Linked DNA regions of Saccharomyces cerevisiae S288C. Changing the gene in region 2 together with the main gene of any one other region gives a genetic interaction. Each region holds a gene or a part of one and is shown on either strand. Other genes may lie near its edges. The genes, in order: AIM26 and YOR032W-A.

Evidence for each region.
Region 1: mutations in YOR032W-A (region 2) and AIM26 together harm fitness more than expected from each alone (negative genetic interaction), as found in Saccharomyces cerevisiae (one large-scale study listed by BioGRID).

Annotation. Positions count from the first base shown.
Region 1 is NC_001143.9:362,174-370,221, reverse strand, and holds AIM26 (Aim26p), read right to left. Parts: upstream 858-8,048; coding exon 501-857; downstream 1-500. Other genes in the region: UGP1 (UTP glucose-1-phosphate uridylyltransferase), read right to left, coding at 1-331; RGT1 (Rgt1p), read right to left, coding at 1,105-4,617; PTM1 (Ptm1p), read right to left, coding at 6,029-7,600. UniProt on the Saccharomyces cerevisiae protein: Involved in selective mitochondria autophagy (mitophagy).
Region 2 is NC_001147.6:382,795-392,876, reverse strand, and holds YOR032W-A (uncharacterized protein), read right to left. Parts: upstream 702-10,082; coding exon 501-701; downstream 1-500. Other genes in the region: Rad2 family nuclease EXO1, read left to right, coding at 1-461; HMS1 (Hms1p), read left to right, coding at 1,802-3,106; DFG16 (Dfg16p), read right to left, coding at 4,193-6,052; YOR029W (uncharacterized protein), read right to left, coding at 7,942-8,277; CIN5 (Cin5p), read left to right, coding at 8,457-9,344; Hsp90 cochaperone STI1, read right to left, coding at 10,055-10,082.

The DNA.
Region 1 (8,048 bases), on a different chromosome or scaffold from region 2:
CGTTCAACTTCAAAACAGCCAATTTGGAAAGGTTTGAGACATTCTCGGGCTGCTGAGAAATAATTTCATACTTAACCACTTCATCCGGGTTGGGAGACTTGATCTTGTCCCATTCCAAGGTGGTTCTAGAAGACTTCTCTACCAAATATCTCCTGAAAAGCGTGAAAAACGAATCCAGTTCGTTCTCAAACTTAGCGCGAGCAGCATCGTCAAGTTTACTAGAGTCCGCCAACTTGTTTAAGGCGTTTCTCATTTGTGAGGCAGCAACGCTGTTTGTGTTGCTCTCGAATGCATAAGTGGAATGTGTTTTGGTGTGCTTCTTAGTGGACATTATTATGTTATGGTACACTTGCTGTGGAAGTTATATTATATAATCGGAAGAGGACTAGGCCTTTTAACGTTGCTGATGTGGAAAGAACCAGAAATTGAATCTCCAACTCCTAAAACCGTAACTTCAATCTCATGGTACCTGCTGGAAGAACTTTGTTGTTTGTTTAGATTTATATACTCAATCCAAAACAGGGAAAGGAAATGCAAAAACGGGCCGAGCCCAAACAAAAGAGGAAGCGCGTCAGGCTGTTCGAGAAGGGGCGGGGGAAGGGGATCAGGTTACAAGACGCTGTACAGGGATCTGTGTGAGAACAAACCGACACCAGAACTTTGGACTTTGCAAGCGCCGGAATTGAATCTGTAGCAATGGCAATGGCAATAGTGATGGCACCAGGTGTAACAGCAAGCCGGCGGTAGCAACGTGCGTAATAAGGACTTCTGCCCCTGAAAAAGTATGCCAAAAGTAGGAGAAAGAAAGACCCCTTTAGCTGTGAAAGAAGAAGGTGCTCCCCGCCCATTGTCTGCATGCGCCCCTGAGCTTGGCGACTCTCGAATACCGTGGAAGATGGTGGAGCACCAGAGTAAAAGGCCGTGCGCACTCTGACAAGGCAGTATTGTTACAGGTTAAAACAGCTAGTGTGTATATGTGTAAGTAAGTATTATTTATGTGTTTTACTTAAATTGGTCATTCATTGCATGGTAGTTCTTTACGCGAATTTCTGCCTGAGGAGAAGGGAGAACCTGACCTACAGGAGAAGGGAGCATAGTTACCTGTCAATACCAGCCTAACTCGGAATCGTCCAACAGCTTCCAGCCGATACTAACGAAATTTTCCAGGGCAACGTTCTCAAGCCTGGGTTCCTCTGCGGCTACTGGCGCCGTTGTCGGTTGTGTACCAGAAGTACGGCGTTCATCAAGCAATGTCTTCATGACTGATGACTCGCGGAGGCCTTGGCCCGACTTTGGCCACATGACGTCGTTTCTGGTCGTGGACGAAAGTCCTCCTGTCAGGGACATTATGGGCTTATTAAGCTCGTGCTCGAAGATCTTGAATGGCTTGATCATTGTCAGCACGCTGGTGATTTGAACTACTTCATTCATCGAGTTTGACAGCTTCATGACCAGGTCCTGCGACTTCTTGGTGTCCTGAGTATTCTGCGTTGTAGTTGCCGTCATCATAATGCTAATGAGTGATGTAGGCATCTGCTTGACCAGTTCAGTGATGTTGTAGACCTCGTGCAGGATAGCAATAGCAAAGGGGGAAATTATCCCCCGGCAAAGGTCTGAAAGGATAGTGCCAGTGTCTTGTTTCAGGCCTAGTAATTTCTTGTAAAAATCTGGATTCCCCTCCGATGGAGGTGCAGCGCTAAGGTTCCCAGCGACTGGAGACGAGCCCATAGCAGATGGGCCCTCTTGCACTGTCGGATTATTAGCGGGTGGGTTCGGTGGTCTATAATTAAAATCAATACTGTTCGTAGGATTCAGTCTTAATATCAACGTCAATACTTGCAAAATTATTGATATCAATGAGCACAGAGAGTCTGCTATTTTCGAACTCAAATCCAATGTCAAATCTGAATAGACTCCTGCTTCTGAATCGTATAATGATAATAAGCAATTGATGAAATTGTGTTTGCCAATTAATAGCTTGCAAAATAACTGTGCTACGGATAGAGGTTGAGTTTCCACATATTCCGATAAGAGTGAAGACGAGTTCGTAATATCGAACCCAGGCTTCCTATTGCCGTTCATTGATATTCTATTCCTGGTAAGCTCACTCATCAATTCACCCAATTTCAAGCTTTGCAAGACGCTTTTCAGTCTCAATTGGCTTTGTTCCAGGCACCATTTTGAGCCCAAATCATTAGAAAAAAATCTTTCTGTAGAACCTTGGATGGAAATGTTTAATAGCTTGGGACCACCGAATGCACAGCTTTGTAAAGAATCAAACACTGAAAGCAAAACGTATAATCTTTTAAACAACACTGAATAGTGACTAATGTTTTCGTCCATGGAATTTGGTGAATTGGATGGATTCATATGCCCAGCACTTTCAGATCCAATTTCAAATTCGGACGTTTTTGTATTCCCATTACCAGTGCTGACCTCTTCATCAACTGGAGGCTTCACATCATTTATATCCGGCTCCGGAAATAATAGAAGTTTGTATAATTTAAATTCGTTAAAAATTGTCACCGACATTCCAAGTACAAATGAGTTATCGTATCCAACAAATGCCAAAATGTAATTTAAAAGAATAAAAGTAGATAAATAAATGACTTTGATCTTCGGCGAAATTTGGTCGTTGTTTTCTCTGAATTTGGGATGAATATCCACGATTTTTTGGAAACATTCATTGAGGGCGGCAATAAAAACGCTTTGCACTTCCAAAGTATCCTGTACTTCATTATGTGAATCACGTCTTGTTTTTTCAGCATCATCCCTTGCCGTGGCTGTAGTGAACCCAGCTTTGTTGTTGTCATTACTTGGCGACAAAGCCACGCCAACAATATTATCGAAAAACTTGCCACCTGGCTTTTGTTTCAGAGCAACACGAACTAACAATTCCAATGAATTTCTAAACCACAAAATAACATATGAATTGACTTCGTGTATATTGGAAATTGGCTGTGTGTTAACTAACAATAAGTCACTGGTCAAGGTCGTTTTGTTTAAAGGTATGATCGGAAATCCTACATGTATGAACTCATAGTAGGTGTCTATTAGATCTACATCGGATATCTGTCCATACGCGATAGTTGATGAAGTGGTCATTGGGTGAGCAGAATCTTTCGATGTTATAGATATAGATGAATCTCTCTTTGGTTTTGTCTTCTTAGATACGTAACTTTTTCTGCGTTTTTTTGTACTTCTCTGTGGCGTTGATCCAGGGCTGGATGCTTCCAAAGCCGCTGGTGTAGTTACAGATTCTTGGGAATGTTGAGATGTATCCTTAGAAGAACCGCTATTATTGCTGCCATTATTGTTGTTAATTTCACCATTATTATTCTCATTACCATTCAGCCTGTCCGTGGATAATGTTACTGATACGGGGGCTGATTGTCGCCTTTTATTTCCATCCAACTCAGATGAAAATTGCGGTACCTGCTGTCCTTGAGGTCTTTGTGTTTGCTGTGCAACATTTACGGGGTTTGTAGATGTGCTAGTAAACATGGCAGGTGCACTGGGAGACATAGCCTCGCTGGCGACTGATCCTTGTCTAGAATGAAAACCATTAGCAGCGAACTGGCCAAAAGATGATATCGATGGGTTGTACGGTTGCTGCTGGGAAAATTGAGAATACGAGTATAGGTTCTGTCCTTGTTGCAACTTTTGTTGGTGTGCTTGTGGCTGCGATTGTTGCTGAGGTGGGGGAAGCTGAGGCTGGCCACCTAGTAAAAGAGAATTTGAAGTATTTCGTAGCAAAGAAGGTATGGAACTTGATCTTCTTGTCTGTTCCCCATTATGATCATCAGTAGGAGCTAGTAAACCAGAAGTTCTTATAAAGGACCAATAACCACCACTACCAGAGGCACTGCCTGAGCCGGTGACACTTCCGTTTGCATTTCCAGAATCATTAGTATGTTTATTCGTTATGGGAGACTGTTGAACGGTGTTATAAGACAACTGCTCGTTGGGATTTAATGTTCTTACCGATATATCACTTTGCAAAGAATCGATAGATCCTTTTCTTTGGTGTTGAAACTCATGGTAGGGCACTTTCCAAAACTGCTGTTGGCCAATATTACCCGCGGGCATAGTTGATTGTATCGCTGGATTTTGGAAACTAGGAGGAATGCCACCAGCCTGGGGAATGTACTGTGTCAGTGGGGGCAATAAAACTGAATTAGATCTCGAAGGGGTACTTGGAACTGTGTTACTGTTTATACCGTTGTCGCCGCTATTGCCCGTATTATTATTCAGGGTATTGTTACTATTATCAAACGTATTATACGACCTTGAGTTATTGTGGTCTTGTATTTCGTTAGTCCTTGGATGGCTGGTGCTCCTCGTATAGCCTTTCGAGGGTCCCCTTTTCAAAGGAACCCTATCAAAACTACAACGGTCTCCATTCCTTTGGCAGTTTGAGCAGACCCCCTTTTCATCTTTGTAGTCACATTTAATCTTCTTTTTACGACACTGATCGCAGGCCCGGGAGGCCTTTGTTCTTTTCTTTATTGCGTGACTTGCTGCTGCTGCGGAGTCCATATCGTCGGGACTATTGGATGTACCACCGTTCTTGGTGGAGTCACTGGAGTTAGTCGAAACAGTGTTCAGCTCGTTCATAATTTGAAATATATTGGAGTTTGAGAGAAGAGTACAGCTTCTTGACAAATGTGAGAATCGAAGAAGCGTGTTATTATTGCACCAATGAAAATTGCGGGAACGGTTCTGCACAATATAGTACAAGGGAGAGGCGATTTCCAACGAAGTCTATGGTGAAAGAGCAGAATATGTTGGATGGACAATACTCCAGTCTCAAAACTCCAAGCACGGTTCCTAACTGATGTGTTCTTATTTTGACTTTTTTTATTTTTTGAATTTTTACTAGTTGCTACTATTTTTTTTTCCTGTTTTTCCTTAAAAGGTCCCTTCCCATAATCGTCTTGCTTAGTTAGCTACATGAAAAAAAAGGAAAAAACTAAAGGAAAATGCACAAAGCAGCGACATATTTTATGAATCCAATACCTGCCATTTCAAGAAGCTCGGATTATTGGTGAGGTGACGTAGCTTTTGTTTGATGTACTGTTGATTATTCGTCTCTGGTGCTCATAAGCCACGTCACAGAAAACGATAAACGATGTTAGCGCACATGCTACATGACTTGCCAATCGTGGTAAAGCTTCTGATGAAAGAACCAACTTGCGGAAGCGTGCCCATAAAATGGTCGTGCGGCTTAACGAGCAATCACACCGAATAAAGTGATCCCGTAAAATGATATTCTACTCGGATGATCCGTTCCCTAGGAAGCGTAAGACAAGTAACTACAAATGTTGTCGCATGTATATTCTATTACTCAGAGCGTTTGACAAAAAAATCTTCTCCCTTTCATTAAAAACGAATCGAAGAGCTGGGTTTATAGCATTGTCACTAAGGACGTGGTCTCATCATAAACAAATAGAATATACATGTTATGTTACATAGGAAAGACCGAAAAAGCCAGAGAAAGCTAATAAGGTTAGCACTGATGCAGCGCGCAACCTTACGTTATCTGGCTTCGTTGTTCATCCTTGAACAAAGGGAATTCCTCACTTCTGGTCTTCCTGCGTCTCTTCTCATAAACAAGTACACATGAAAAGTCTATGGACCAATTTTCTCTTCCATTTTATAGTCGATGAACAGAAACTTTTCGCTTGTTTCGGTTTGATATAAATCATCTTATCACCGAAAAAAAAAAAACTCCAGCGAGCGGCTAAATAAATACAAAACGAAAAAGTTAGGTCTAGAGTATAGCATAGCTTTGGTGACTACAGTTATAAACAGGTAAAAGCACGCACAAATAAATGAAAAGAAACGTGCAACGCATTTATTTATTTATTTATTTATATTCATATTTATATTCATATTCATATTCACATCGCATTGAACAGAAGTGCATATGGTTCATAATTTCTTTCTTTTCGCTTGTAAACATTTCGTGACTGCCCTCGAAGAAACTATTTGTCTCATCACCTAATCAAATCTGCTGGAGGTAGCGTTATTTTGTTGGAGAGGGAGACACTGGCCCGTGGCCTTGGCTATGGTTATTTACATTATCGTGTCCTTCTTCATCATCAGTAAAATTCAAATTGAGGTCATCCTCGTCTATGCCACGCTCACCAGTGATGATACTTGCGTCATCTTGATCGTCAAACGATTGCAAATCGCCCAAGTCAAAGTCCGCGACATTTTCTGGGTCTGTGGGTAGTTGTTGGGATGCGGCTAGCATGTATGAAGTATCTGTTGGTCTCCATAAGAACGCGATGGTAACGAAAACAATGAAATACACTAACGTAGGCCAGAAATCAGTAACGAAGAACCTTGACCTCCAGTTCTTCTCAATCATATCAATAGTGTTCATGCCAACGTAAATAAATGACGAAACTATACTACCAGCTAGTACACTCAAAAAGGACGCATAAATGATGTATAGTAGCTTCTTGTACATGTTCAATTTTACGATCTGCCTTTGCTCTTTCAAATAGATAACTGTTTTTGTCATGGATCTAATAATCATGTAGTAAAATATGATTAATGCAAGCGCCATAGGAATCAAGGTGATCAAGATTAGTGGAGATGGTGCCTCCATGTCGGTCAAATAACTTTGGATCAAAAATCCAATGCAAATTGCATAAGTTAACGCACCATACATTTGGCAACGCCTCATCAACGTTTTATTCAACTTAGGGTACACGATACCGTAGCCCAAAGCGATAATCAATAATAGGAAAAATGAAAATGTAACTTTACCAGCCGTCAATATCGACAAGAACACCATATAAACTTTTATTCCCGCAGTATCACCTTTTTCATTTTTCAAATCATAGTAAGCCCATACAAATATGGTTTCTGCGGTTAAAAATACAAAAAAGGCCAGCAAATACTTTTGTAATGGTAACAATTCATGCTTGTGCTTCCAGAAGGCGAAGGAATATAACGCCATCGCCACAACGTATGCGACCGCCAAAAGACCATATAGTGGCAATTTGTTGATCTCGGTGCCCGCAAGCTGACCATAAGCATTCCTGAAATTCACCACAGCGTTGAACTTGGTAGACGTCGATGATCTGAACGCAGTAACACAATAAAATCCGGTTTCTTTTATTGGGTATCTAGTATCATGAAGGCCGACCTCATTTTGAGAAAACGTCATGATTGGATTGGCCAAAGATCTATTTGTGGAAGTATATGGATCATATACAACATCTTGAACAATAAACTCATCACGATTCTCCTCTTCACAAATCCCGATATCAATTGCATAATCATCACAAATATAATACATTTCTTCATCCGGCAATTGCACACCTAAGTGCTCAAAGTCTTGGAAATCATAGATTGCAACGACTAAGCCTGGATCAGACTCATCACTCAATCCACTTATTTTTTTAAGATTGAATGATATAAACGGGTCTATTTTGCCCTTCCAATCTTCTTTGGAATACATACCTGCGCATACTTGATAATTCTTTTGACTTATCTTTTCCTTGTTAGCTTTTACGAACACTAGAAGGTAGCATAAGAAGCAGGTGAATAATTGGAAAGGTCGGCAAAACTGATATACTCTCATTGTGCCCTTACACTCTTAGTTTCTGTAAATTTACTGCCTTTTTACCAGCTGTTTCTTGAAATTACCGAGAAAATATTCTATTTCAATTTTTAACCTGCAAAACCTGAACAGAATAGTTGATCCTCTTGACTATTAGTTTGAGGCTAAGTTTTTTTTTCCACTCTCCCTATTCCTACTCCTATATATATCTTGCTCTATCTTTTTCTTCAAGTTCGTTTTTTCACACACTATTTAAAAGACCAAGCTTATGTGTGACGTGCACGGGTGCAATATCTAAATCGGGCAAAACAACTAAGCAGTAATTAAAGTACCACACTCTAGCCGAAAAGAGGTATACATGAAGGTTGAAGATTCGGAAGCAATTCCCAAATTATGTTCAACATTACGGATATTACAATGTTCAATGCGCATAATACACCATAGAAGAAAATTGGCACTACGTATATAC
Region 2 (10,082 bases):
AAACTGCGGAATCAAGAGTTCCCACGAGCAGCACCACCTCATTTCCCGGGTCATCCCAGAGGAGTATATCGGGGTGCACAAAAGTTTTACAAAAGTTTAGATATTCATCTTCATTCAGCGGAGTTAATGCAAATAGACAACCACTATTTCCTCGGCACGTTAATCAAAAAAGTAGAGGAATGGTATACGTCAATCAAAATAGAGATGATGATTGCGACGATAACGATGGTAAAAATCAAATCACGCAAAGGCCATCACTGCGAAAAAGCCTTATTGGTGCCAGGTCACAGAGAATTGTGATTGACATGAAAAGCGTAGATGAACGAAAATCATTCAATTCATCACCAATTTTGCATGAGGAAAGTAAGAAAAGGGACATCGAAACTACTAAGTCAAGCCAAGCTCGGCCGGCAGTCAGATCTATCTCCTTGCTTTCCCAATTTGTTTATAAAGGTAAATAAAAGTTAAGTACTGCACGTTTCATATCGGAGGTATATTTTTCAAATGAAAATCTCGTCGAAATGCCTCAAGACAAGAATTAAAAAATCAATGCCCAGTAAAGTAGGACAGGGTACGGTTGGAGTAAGAAGCCTTCTACTTTGGGAAAAAGCCATTGTACTAGACCAAGAAAAGATTAAAAGTAGATGTGTCAAATTAAGCCACAAGTATGTTTGCCCCGCTATGAACAATGCACGCCGCATGTGAGGACAACTTTATATGTTTTGCGAGCGCGCTGGGCATGTGCAATTCACATTTTTTTTTTCCTTTTTTTTAACCCACTCTATTTATCTAATCAAGCCGCTAGCGGTCTACATTCGCTATCAACTGAACGAATAGTGATGCAATCTGAACCTTAAACTTTTCGCTCGCTTTTACTTTCCAGAAAAAATTTTCTTCATTGGGATTCCTCTGCTGACAAACGGGCTCACAGAACTGAGGAAACGAGAATTTTGTTAATCAAAGCAACATTACGGGAAGGAACGGAACCGTCTCGTTGCTGTGGGCGCGAGTTCGACGCAAGAAAAAAATGCTGCAGCATCGTCTTTTGTGAACGCCAAGAAGGAGTCCGGCGAAGGTATTGGGCGTCACAACCTTTTATTCTCCGCAGTGTCTCTTGCCTACAAAGCCTGCAGAAGCTTTTATGCCGGGGTGTACGTATGTTAATCAGTTACCCTTTCCTACTGTGTGCCGCACCCCTCATTTGCTCTCGATACGAGAAGTTCCGCGCCGATTCTGGCCTTTTTGTTTTCTGGCTAGCCTACTTTCAGGGGACGTGCCTTCTTATGCCGCTGTAAATTACAGCAGAGATTTAGATCTGAGTGAAAACGTGGCGAGGAAAAAGGGTACACCGTTAAAAGCGTAGACACAATCCCACTTTGTTGTGCCTAGTCTTCTCTGCTGTATTTTAATTTTCTGTTTGAACTTTTTTCCGTTCTTTTCCATCATTGTTTAATTTTTACTTTGAGTGGGCTTCTCAAAAGAAAAAAATAGCTGGTATTGTATTTTTACCGTAGGCGTTTTCTTTGTATTTTTCCCAAGAGCAGCAGCACCTTTTATATACCTTGGTTACACATTGTAAGCCTCAAAAATCGTCCTATGTAAGTGTCTTATCGCATCATACTTAAGGTCAAACCTGTAAAGCGCGCTTCTAGTTTTATTTCTACTACTCGCCTTGGCTCTCGAGATCGCTTAGGTAGTTTAATAGTTAGTCACACCCACCCACCCATTCGCTTAGAATATAGAATATAGAGCAGTTGCAGTACACGACTCATTTTAGCAACGATAAGAGTATAAATTGGAAATGCCAAATTTTCAAAAACCTTTTTCTGGTTCTTCGGATGGCAATTCTGTAATGAACGACCTAGGTAATAAAGTCGCCATCAAGGTTTTTGATTGTAGAAGTGCTCAAGATGGCAGCGAAGAGCAGAATGTAAATGTAACCACGAACCAAATGTATTTAATGTTTCAAAGTAACAATTACAACGTGCCGCCACCAAATTACAATACCGAGGATTTGGGTTCTCAAGGACCTCCGACGCATGCTTATTACGCTCCATTTCAGCATCCCATCCATCTTCAACCTCCCGTGCCTCCTGTATATAAGAACAACACATATTCTGCCACAGACCAGTATAGTGACTCCTCGTTTCCTAATACTTCAGGCCACACTCCAGTAATTGATAGTAATTACTATAATGATGCTCTGGCTTCTATACCTACAACAACGACGGGTAGTACTACAATGACTACAGACAATGGCAATACTATTGACAGCGAAGAATACATTGATAACATGGAAGTCTTTAGTAGCGAGGAAAATGAAAACATTGATAATGTAAAGCAAACCGATCTTAAATCTGAAAAGGACTCGAGTCTTCTTTCAGCAGCTTCAATCGTGAAAAAGGAACAATTGTCTGGCTTTGAAAATTTTTTGCCTTTATCGAAGACAGAGTCTCCCTTAGTTACTGCAGACGAGATTAAATCATCTTTGAATTTGGAGAATATTGACAATGCTGACAGTATGAGCTTCAAGTTAAAAACTTCACCTATACGGAAACATTTTCATGTTAAACCCAAAAGAATAACAAGGGTGAGGACAGGAAGGGTATCACACAATATAATTGAAAAGAAATACCGTTCCAATATTAATGATAAAATTGAACAATTAAGGAGAACTGTCCCAACGCTACGAGTAGCGTATAAAAAATGTAACGATCTTCCCATTACATCTAGAGACCTAGCAGACTTAGATGGCCTAGAGCCAGCAACAAAATTGAATAAGGCGTCCATTTTAACGAAATCTATTGAATATATTTGTCATTTAGAAAGAAAGTGCCTACAGCTAAGCTTGGCTAATCAACATTTATCAAATGACACACGGGATTCTTTCGTCCATCTTACCGAGCCATCTCAACCGTTGAGTGACAACAGTAGTAGTGAACAAGTACAAAAGCAAACCAGAAGCTGCCAACGCCAACGGCAGCGGCAGCCACGACAACAACAACCATTGCATAACATTCAATATAATATTCCACATCAAAACGGCCTCATGAGCGGCACCAACAATTCACATGATATGGATTTTAACAACGCAGGAGACTTTTAATACTTGAACAACAAAATGTTTCAACACGACAGATAAAACGAAGAAGAAATACTATATACAAATCTGTACTTGTGTGTATGCGTAACATTGTAATTTTAATTTTGCATTGAGAAATCTATTTTATTCATCTCTTTTAGTGTTAGTAAACACTCGCAGATGCCTTGAGCTCCGCACCGTAATTTAGTTTAATTTATTTCTCTTAGTGCCGTCTAAATAATAACGATCTAAAAAAAAGATTCCGGGAAAAAGAAACTATACCTTATATTTAGTTCATGCAGTTAAATAAATGTTGTTAATTAAGGGTAAAATATGATGATGTATTTATGATAAGTAAAGAGTAGGGGTCACCTAACATTTTTCACAATTGCATTTACTCTTTTCACAAGTGCACGTGGTTTCGCATTTGCATTTTTCACCACAACTCTTACATTGAGGGCTTCCGGTGCTGTGATCACATTTGCACTTTTCACCGCCAGAACAGCTTGGAAGGCAGGTGCTCCCACAATGACAAGAGTCCTTACAACATTCGCCTTAACAGTCACATATTTTTACAGTCATATTTATTGAGTACTATTTGACATTGTAGTGTTCAGTGTAATATCGCTTCGCTATTCTTAGGGGGGACGATGTGCGCCCTTCTTATATAGGCCCCGCTTGATCACTACTTCACAGCCCTCTCGCATCCCTATCCTTTTTTTGTCCGAAAGACAAAAATCACTTCCACACAGCAATAAAGACGCATTTATTGTTCTTTTTCTTAAAAGTGCTTGCAGTAGGGGGTTTAGCAAAAGAAAAAAATATATGACCGGTTGTTATGCGATCTGACGTAAAGTGGAACTCATTTTGAAGGGTTTCTGCACAGAAGTCAATGCCAGAAGGATTTGGAACACCTACAGGACTGAACGTCGGACTAAAATAATGTTGGTAGAGTATGGTATTACTGTAAATTAATCGTTTATACGTGACGTTGACGATGGGATTTGATTTTCTTGTATATCTGACTTGAAAATAAAAGCAATAAATGACCACAAGAAATAAAGGCAGCTGTACTTCTGCAGTTATGTCTTTTCGTCCACTGGGCCTGCCTTAATCACTATTTTCGTAATTATAAATGTGGTTGGTTCGAAGTTCGGTTTCCATACTTTCGTTGTCACTGATGTCTGTAGCTAGATAATTGGAATCTCTAATATGTTTGTCGGCTCCTGGTCTAACAGTTGAGCCTTCTTTATTCTGTCCAATGCCATTTTTTGGTTCATATGAATTGGTTTTTCGCCTAGGCTTCCTTAATAGCTGTCGATATTTGGATAATGTCGTTTTAGTATTAGGTTTGCCATTCGATTTACTTCCAAAACTGGGATTTTGCCCAAATTTATTCTCACTTTTCATTATCTTATGTCTTCTTCTTCTGTCCCTTATTCTTTCGATTGGAGATTTCCAGGTGGGTGAAGGGGATCCTACTAAACTTGATGAATCGTGGGAAGTAGTGTTACTTTTAGTAGTGTTTAAATCCCTGTTTAACGTTATGGCGCTTAAATGCTTGCCTAAATCTTCTCCGTAATAATTGACTGTTGGATTGGCGAAAAATTTGTCCCTATTGTTAATTTTTCGTCCAAGGACTGTTTTTTTGCTTATGTGCAGCTCCCTCTTTTCCAATACTCCAATTAAGCCCCAAACGTTCACTGTTATTAAAACTTTCAAAAGATGAACAAAGTTAAATGTCCAACCTCTAACATGTTTGGTGAAAGCAGCGAAAAAAATTGTGGTGAAATAGAATAAAATAAATATAAGAATATTATACGCCAATAATGGTATAGTTTCGTGATAATTTTCCCAAAGAATTCTCAATTTCGTTTTACACTTACCGTCCGTATTAATTTCAGCAGTTTTCGGTAAAAGTATGTAAGCAAAATTATGCCATGTGAAGTAACAAATAATGGAGATGAAAATTGTGTAAATCAGTAATTCGATTAGCTTGTAAAATACCTTCAAAACTACAAGGTTCTTTCTCCAAAGAAGGTTTGCGAATAAAATGTTATCGGCTAGTGAGAGGAAGCAACCCACGGTAATTATGATATGTGTCCCCTTTTTCATTTTAAATGGGATCCAATTCCAAGTTGGTTTTCCATAATTGGACTGTAAGTAGTGAACAATATAAATCCAGTTTATATCACTCAAAATATTTGCAACTAATTCACATATTTTATATGGTGCAGTTTCTACGATGAACGATTCAAATTGGCTCGCATCCTGGTAGTCATCGTGATATTGGCTGTCAAATATGACGGCTATAGTCTCGTTTAGAAATACAGTTCTTATAATCGCAGAGAAAAGGACGTAAACATGTACAACTTTATTTCTTCTATTATGATTATCGGATGGCAGTAATAAGACAACCAAAAATAGCATCCATGTTGCCACACAGATACACCCAGAAGCAAAGGTGATCATTATCATTCCTAAGGGAAATGGGTCTTTTCCGATGTATTTACTACTGTCATCTTGAACGTTGAATTTGTTGTTGATGTCATAAACAAAGTCTTGTAAGACATGAGAGAAATTAGGATTTGCACTGCCATTATCGCATCGGATCAAAAAGGATGGGTAATTTAAAGTGTAATTATAAGCACGTAAGTGCCACGAATTACTTGCTAGAGAGATGAAGCCACCTGTCAATACATTTACCGTGCATGAGTTTTCATATTTATTTAGTAGTTTATCATCTATCAAATCAGTCAGATTGTAAGCTGGAATGTTGTCGATGTGTTTTTTATAAGGTGGCCGGTGGTCGTAATGCGGTGGTCTTTCATCACCAAGTTTATGTCCCGGAGGACCAGGTATCAAATCGGGAGGTTGAATTCTCTTTCTTGCTGCTTTTTCATACGCACCTACAAGTCCTAAATGGTAAACTAAAGTGAGGAGGTAGTAAAAATGCAATCTTATGATCATTAATCTTGCACGTAAAGACGTTCCGCAACAAAAAATGCTTGTGAGTGCAATATCAATAAGTATTGTTTTTGAGCCTTCGGAGTTGAGCTGCCATTTGGTGGTACTTGTTTTGAATATGATAGAAGCCTTATCTTTGACACTTCTTCCAGTCAATTTTCTCGCCAAGTTAAAAAAAAAAGTTACAATTTTCTCATCACCCCGAAACAACAAAAGAAAGTATATTGCTCTTTAGCCCTTCCTTGCAGATTTTTCAATCCAACGGGGCTAGTAAATCTGATATCAATCACATCGATTGTGTTATCTTCACATGTTGTTTGATAGAAATCAGACCTTCTTTTTTCTTCTTCTCGGATGTTTATAGTTAGTAAAGCTAAACTGTGTATATATGGCAATCACCGAAGACGAATTATTACAGGACAGAAATAAATGGGTTACACACCAGAAATCAGGGACAAAAGGGCCCAACGGAAATTTTATAGGTTGTTTTGTTTATCTGTGCACATAGGCGACAAAACTAAAGTTATGTATCTAAGAATTACAACGTAGTGTAGGTGAGCGGTACTTGAAACTTTCTTTTTGTAAACACCATAAAAGGATATTAATGACATCGGTTGAAATAATGACATCTAGAAGGAAAATTACAACTAGAAGAAAGCGTGATTATGTTGTAAAGAATCCGGCAAATAGAAAAGCTAAAAGATGATTGCAAGGCTAGTGAAGATATTTCAAAACTTAGTTACTCGTTACCTTAAAAACCTTACATTGTTCTCATGTATTACATGAAATTCTATCTTTTCTTTTTGAATAAGCTCTAAGTATTAATCCTCAAGTATTAATTGCCCACCACCTTCTTAAAACTGTTGTTTTTTAATTACAATTTTCTACGCTAACCCGTTTCTTCCATTTTCTCACTGTTAGTATTCCCATATAACGATCTTCTTAGATTATCTATAAAAGCGTATTTTGAGATTTGTTGCAATGACCTAAAAATGGTTGACAGTCATTCTTCTTGTTGCTGCTTTTAATAAACTAATTCTTTAGAGAAGGATAAGTACTGTGACATATTTACACTTTTTAACTAACTTCTTTGGCCACAACTAGTGAAATGTTCATCTACTGCGCAATTCAATATGCCCGCCGATAGCTAAGCGATAGCTCTTTCAAAAATTTTAAAAAAAAGGTACTATCAAACTGAATTGGAATGATTATGGTTCAAACTTACTCCTGATTCAAATATAGCAAAAAAATCAGGTGTGCAGCTATAGATCTGCCAGATACACGAGTCATTGCGAAAGGCACCATATATTACCTTATTTAGTGCCTTCTTGAAAAACAACTACAAGATCTTAACGTCACTGTATAGTGCCATTCGGTGAGCAAAGACAGGTATTGGTACTAATTGACAGTAAATGACTTATCTAACCCGTTGACGCAATGCTTCGCTTTTGCCATCAAGAATGTTGAACTGTGCAAAATGGTATTTTTTCGGAGAAACATTTCAAAATGGAAAGGTAACAACGTCCGTAGTTTTGTTTTTCCGTTTTATCGTTTACATGATTATCCTGAAAAGTCCCCTGCAGCAGCAATCATAGGGCCCACTCACTGCCATGTCTTCCCACCTCCTAAGAAATGGCTGCCCCACGCCCCTTTGACGACTTACTCCTCAAGGTAAAACTTGGCGTACGGAGAGGGGTCGAGAAAAGGTTCCGAGTGGAAATGTACGCCAATGTTTAGGGCTACGTGGAATGTGATCTCATTCTTACAAAACACGTAGATGATGAAAAGGGCCGCAAAAGTTTCTGTTATTCTTTAAATTGTTCCCAGAAATCCTCGAAGGAATGACCTAAATCTTAAGGCACTTGCTTTTAAAACTATTGTTCGTTAATTTGTTAGTAATGCAACCAAGTGCTCCAGCCCAACCGAAAAAAAGGGAAATTAACTTTACATCGATAAGCTCTGACGCAATGCGGGAGGGGATTTCCCGAGCGGAAATACCACGGCGCTGAAAAAAAAAAAATCGGAACCGGAGTTGCCTCACCGATCCCAATGGTGACATGCAAAGAAAATTTTATTGGCATTAAATCTATGAGGAAGAGGGTAGGAAGGAGTACTAGGCAAAAATCGTAACTAGGAGCAGAAGGCGAGTAAAACCCTTTCAATACTAGGGAGAGAGTGATTTGATAAGGATACCTCCTCACTCGAGAACTAGTTGATGTCTGCATCATTACCAAAGTTCATGTATATAAAAAAGGAACTGGGTGATTTATTTTTTCTCACGCATTCTGCTTACAAATAATTCATTAGATAATTTTACTGATTAACTACGACTTTTTGCAGCCGTTAATCTCATCATAGATATAGAATAACAGCTTGGAACAAGAAGGAAAACCAAAAACCTACTCAAATGTTAATGCAAATAAAAATGGACAATCATCCTTTTAATTTTCAACCTATTTTAGCTTCCCATTCAATGACAAGAGACAGTACAAAGCCAAAAAAAATGACGGATACCGCTTTCGTGCCAAGCCCTCCTGTAGGGTTTATTAAAGAGGAGAACAAGGCTGATTTGCATACAATTTCGGTAGTTGCTTCGAATGTGACTCTACCGCAAATTCAGCTCCCAAAGATTGCAACACTTGAAGAGCCTGGTTATGAGAGCAGAACTGGCTCACTTACAGATCTTTCTGGAAGAAGAAATTCTGTTAATATAGGAGCATTGTGTGAGGATGTTCCAAATACTGCGGGCCCACATATTGCAAGGCCGGTGACAATAAACAATTTGATTCCTCCGTCTTTACCAAGACTGAACACATACCAGCTTAGACCGCAACTATCAGATACTCATTTAAACTGTCACTTCAATTCTAATCCATACACCACTGCATCACACGCACCATTTGAATCTTCCTACACTACTGCATCTACATTTACTAGCCAACCGGCAGCTTCATATTTTCCCTCAAATAGTACCCCAGCTACGAGAAAAAATAGTGCCACGACTAACCTTCCTTCAGAGGAAAGACGTCGAGTTTCCGTTTCTCTTTCAGAGCAGGTTTTTAACGAAGGCGAAAGATATAACAATGATGGCCAGTTGATCGGTAAAACAGGCAAACCTTTAAGAAATACTAAGAGAGCTGCCCAAAATCGAAGCGCACAAAAGGCGTTTAGGCAGCGTCGTGAGAAATACATCAAAAATCTCGAAGAAAAATCAAAACTATTCGATGGCTTGATGAAAGAAAACAGTGAATTGAAAAAAATGATTGAATCATTAAAGTCGAAATTAAAAGAATAAAATAATGAATAATTATTAGTACTAGTAACATCTTAAAAGTTTTCAAAGCACATGGCAAGCACTTCTTCAGGGGGATGCAACCCCCCTTCTCCAAAGAAAATTGATGCCTAAGGTGGCGAAAATATTACGAGATAGGAAACAATTTATGGTTTCTAGTTTCAGGCAGCTTGTATTAGGTAATCAACAAAGCTTAATTTTCACCATTTTTATTTTCTTTCCTTCATCTCCCTTTTTTTATGGCAGGCACATTACTAAAAAGGAAAGAGTCAAGAGTGTAAAAATATACGTAGAAAATACATAGTAAGAAACGAAATTATATCATAGCAATTTGAAAAGTTTATTTCCCTAATTTTTTCAGCTTAGCGAATGTTGTCATGGAGCTTAGATATTCTCGCTTTTTTTTTTTCGCATTCTGATGTAATGAATATTGTTGACGTAAAGTTGTGCCAATTACGTAATTTTTTTTGTTTCTAAGGAGAGTTCCGGCCAGAAATTTCCTAGGGCTGATCCGGAGAACGACAGGAAAGATGGTCCGATGTTTTTTTCCCTCGCCCAAGAAACTTATTATCTTCAAGTTCCGATTTCTCAAATATCAACCATAGCATGAAACAAATTTAGTATACTAAGTGAGAAGATCATTATATGTACGTATGTATGAAAAAGCAGTAAAAAAAGAATTCAAGATAATAAAGTTATATTTCGTATTATTTTTAGCGGCCAGTCCGGATGATACCAGCA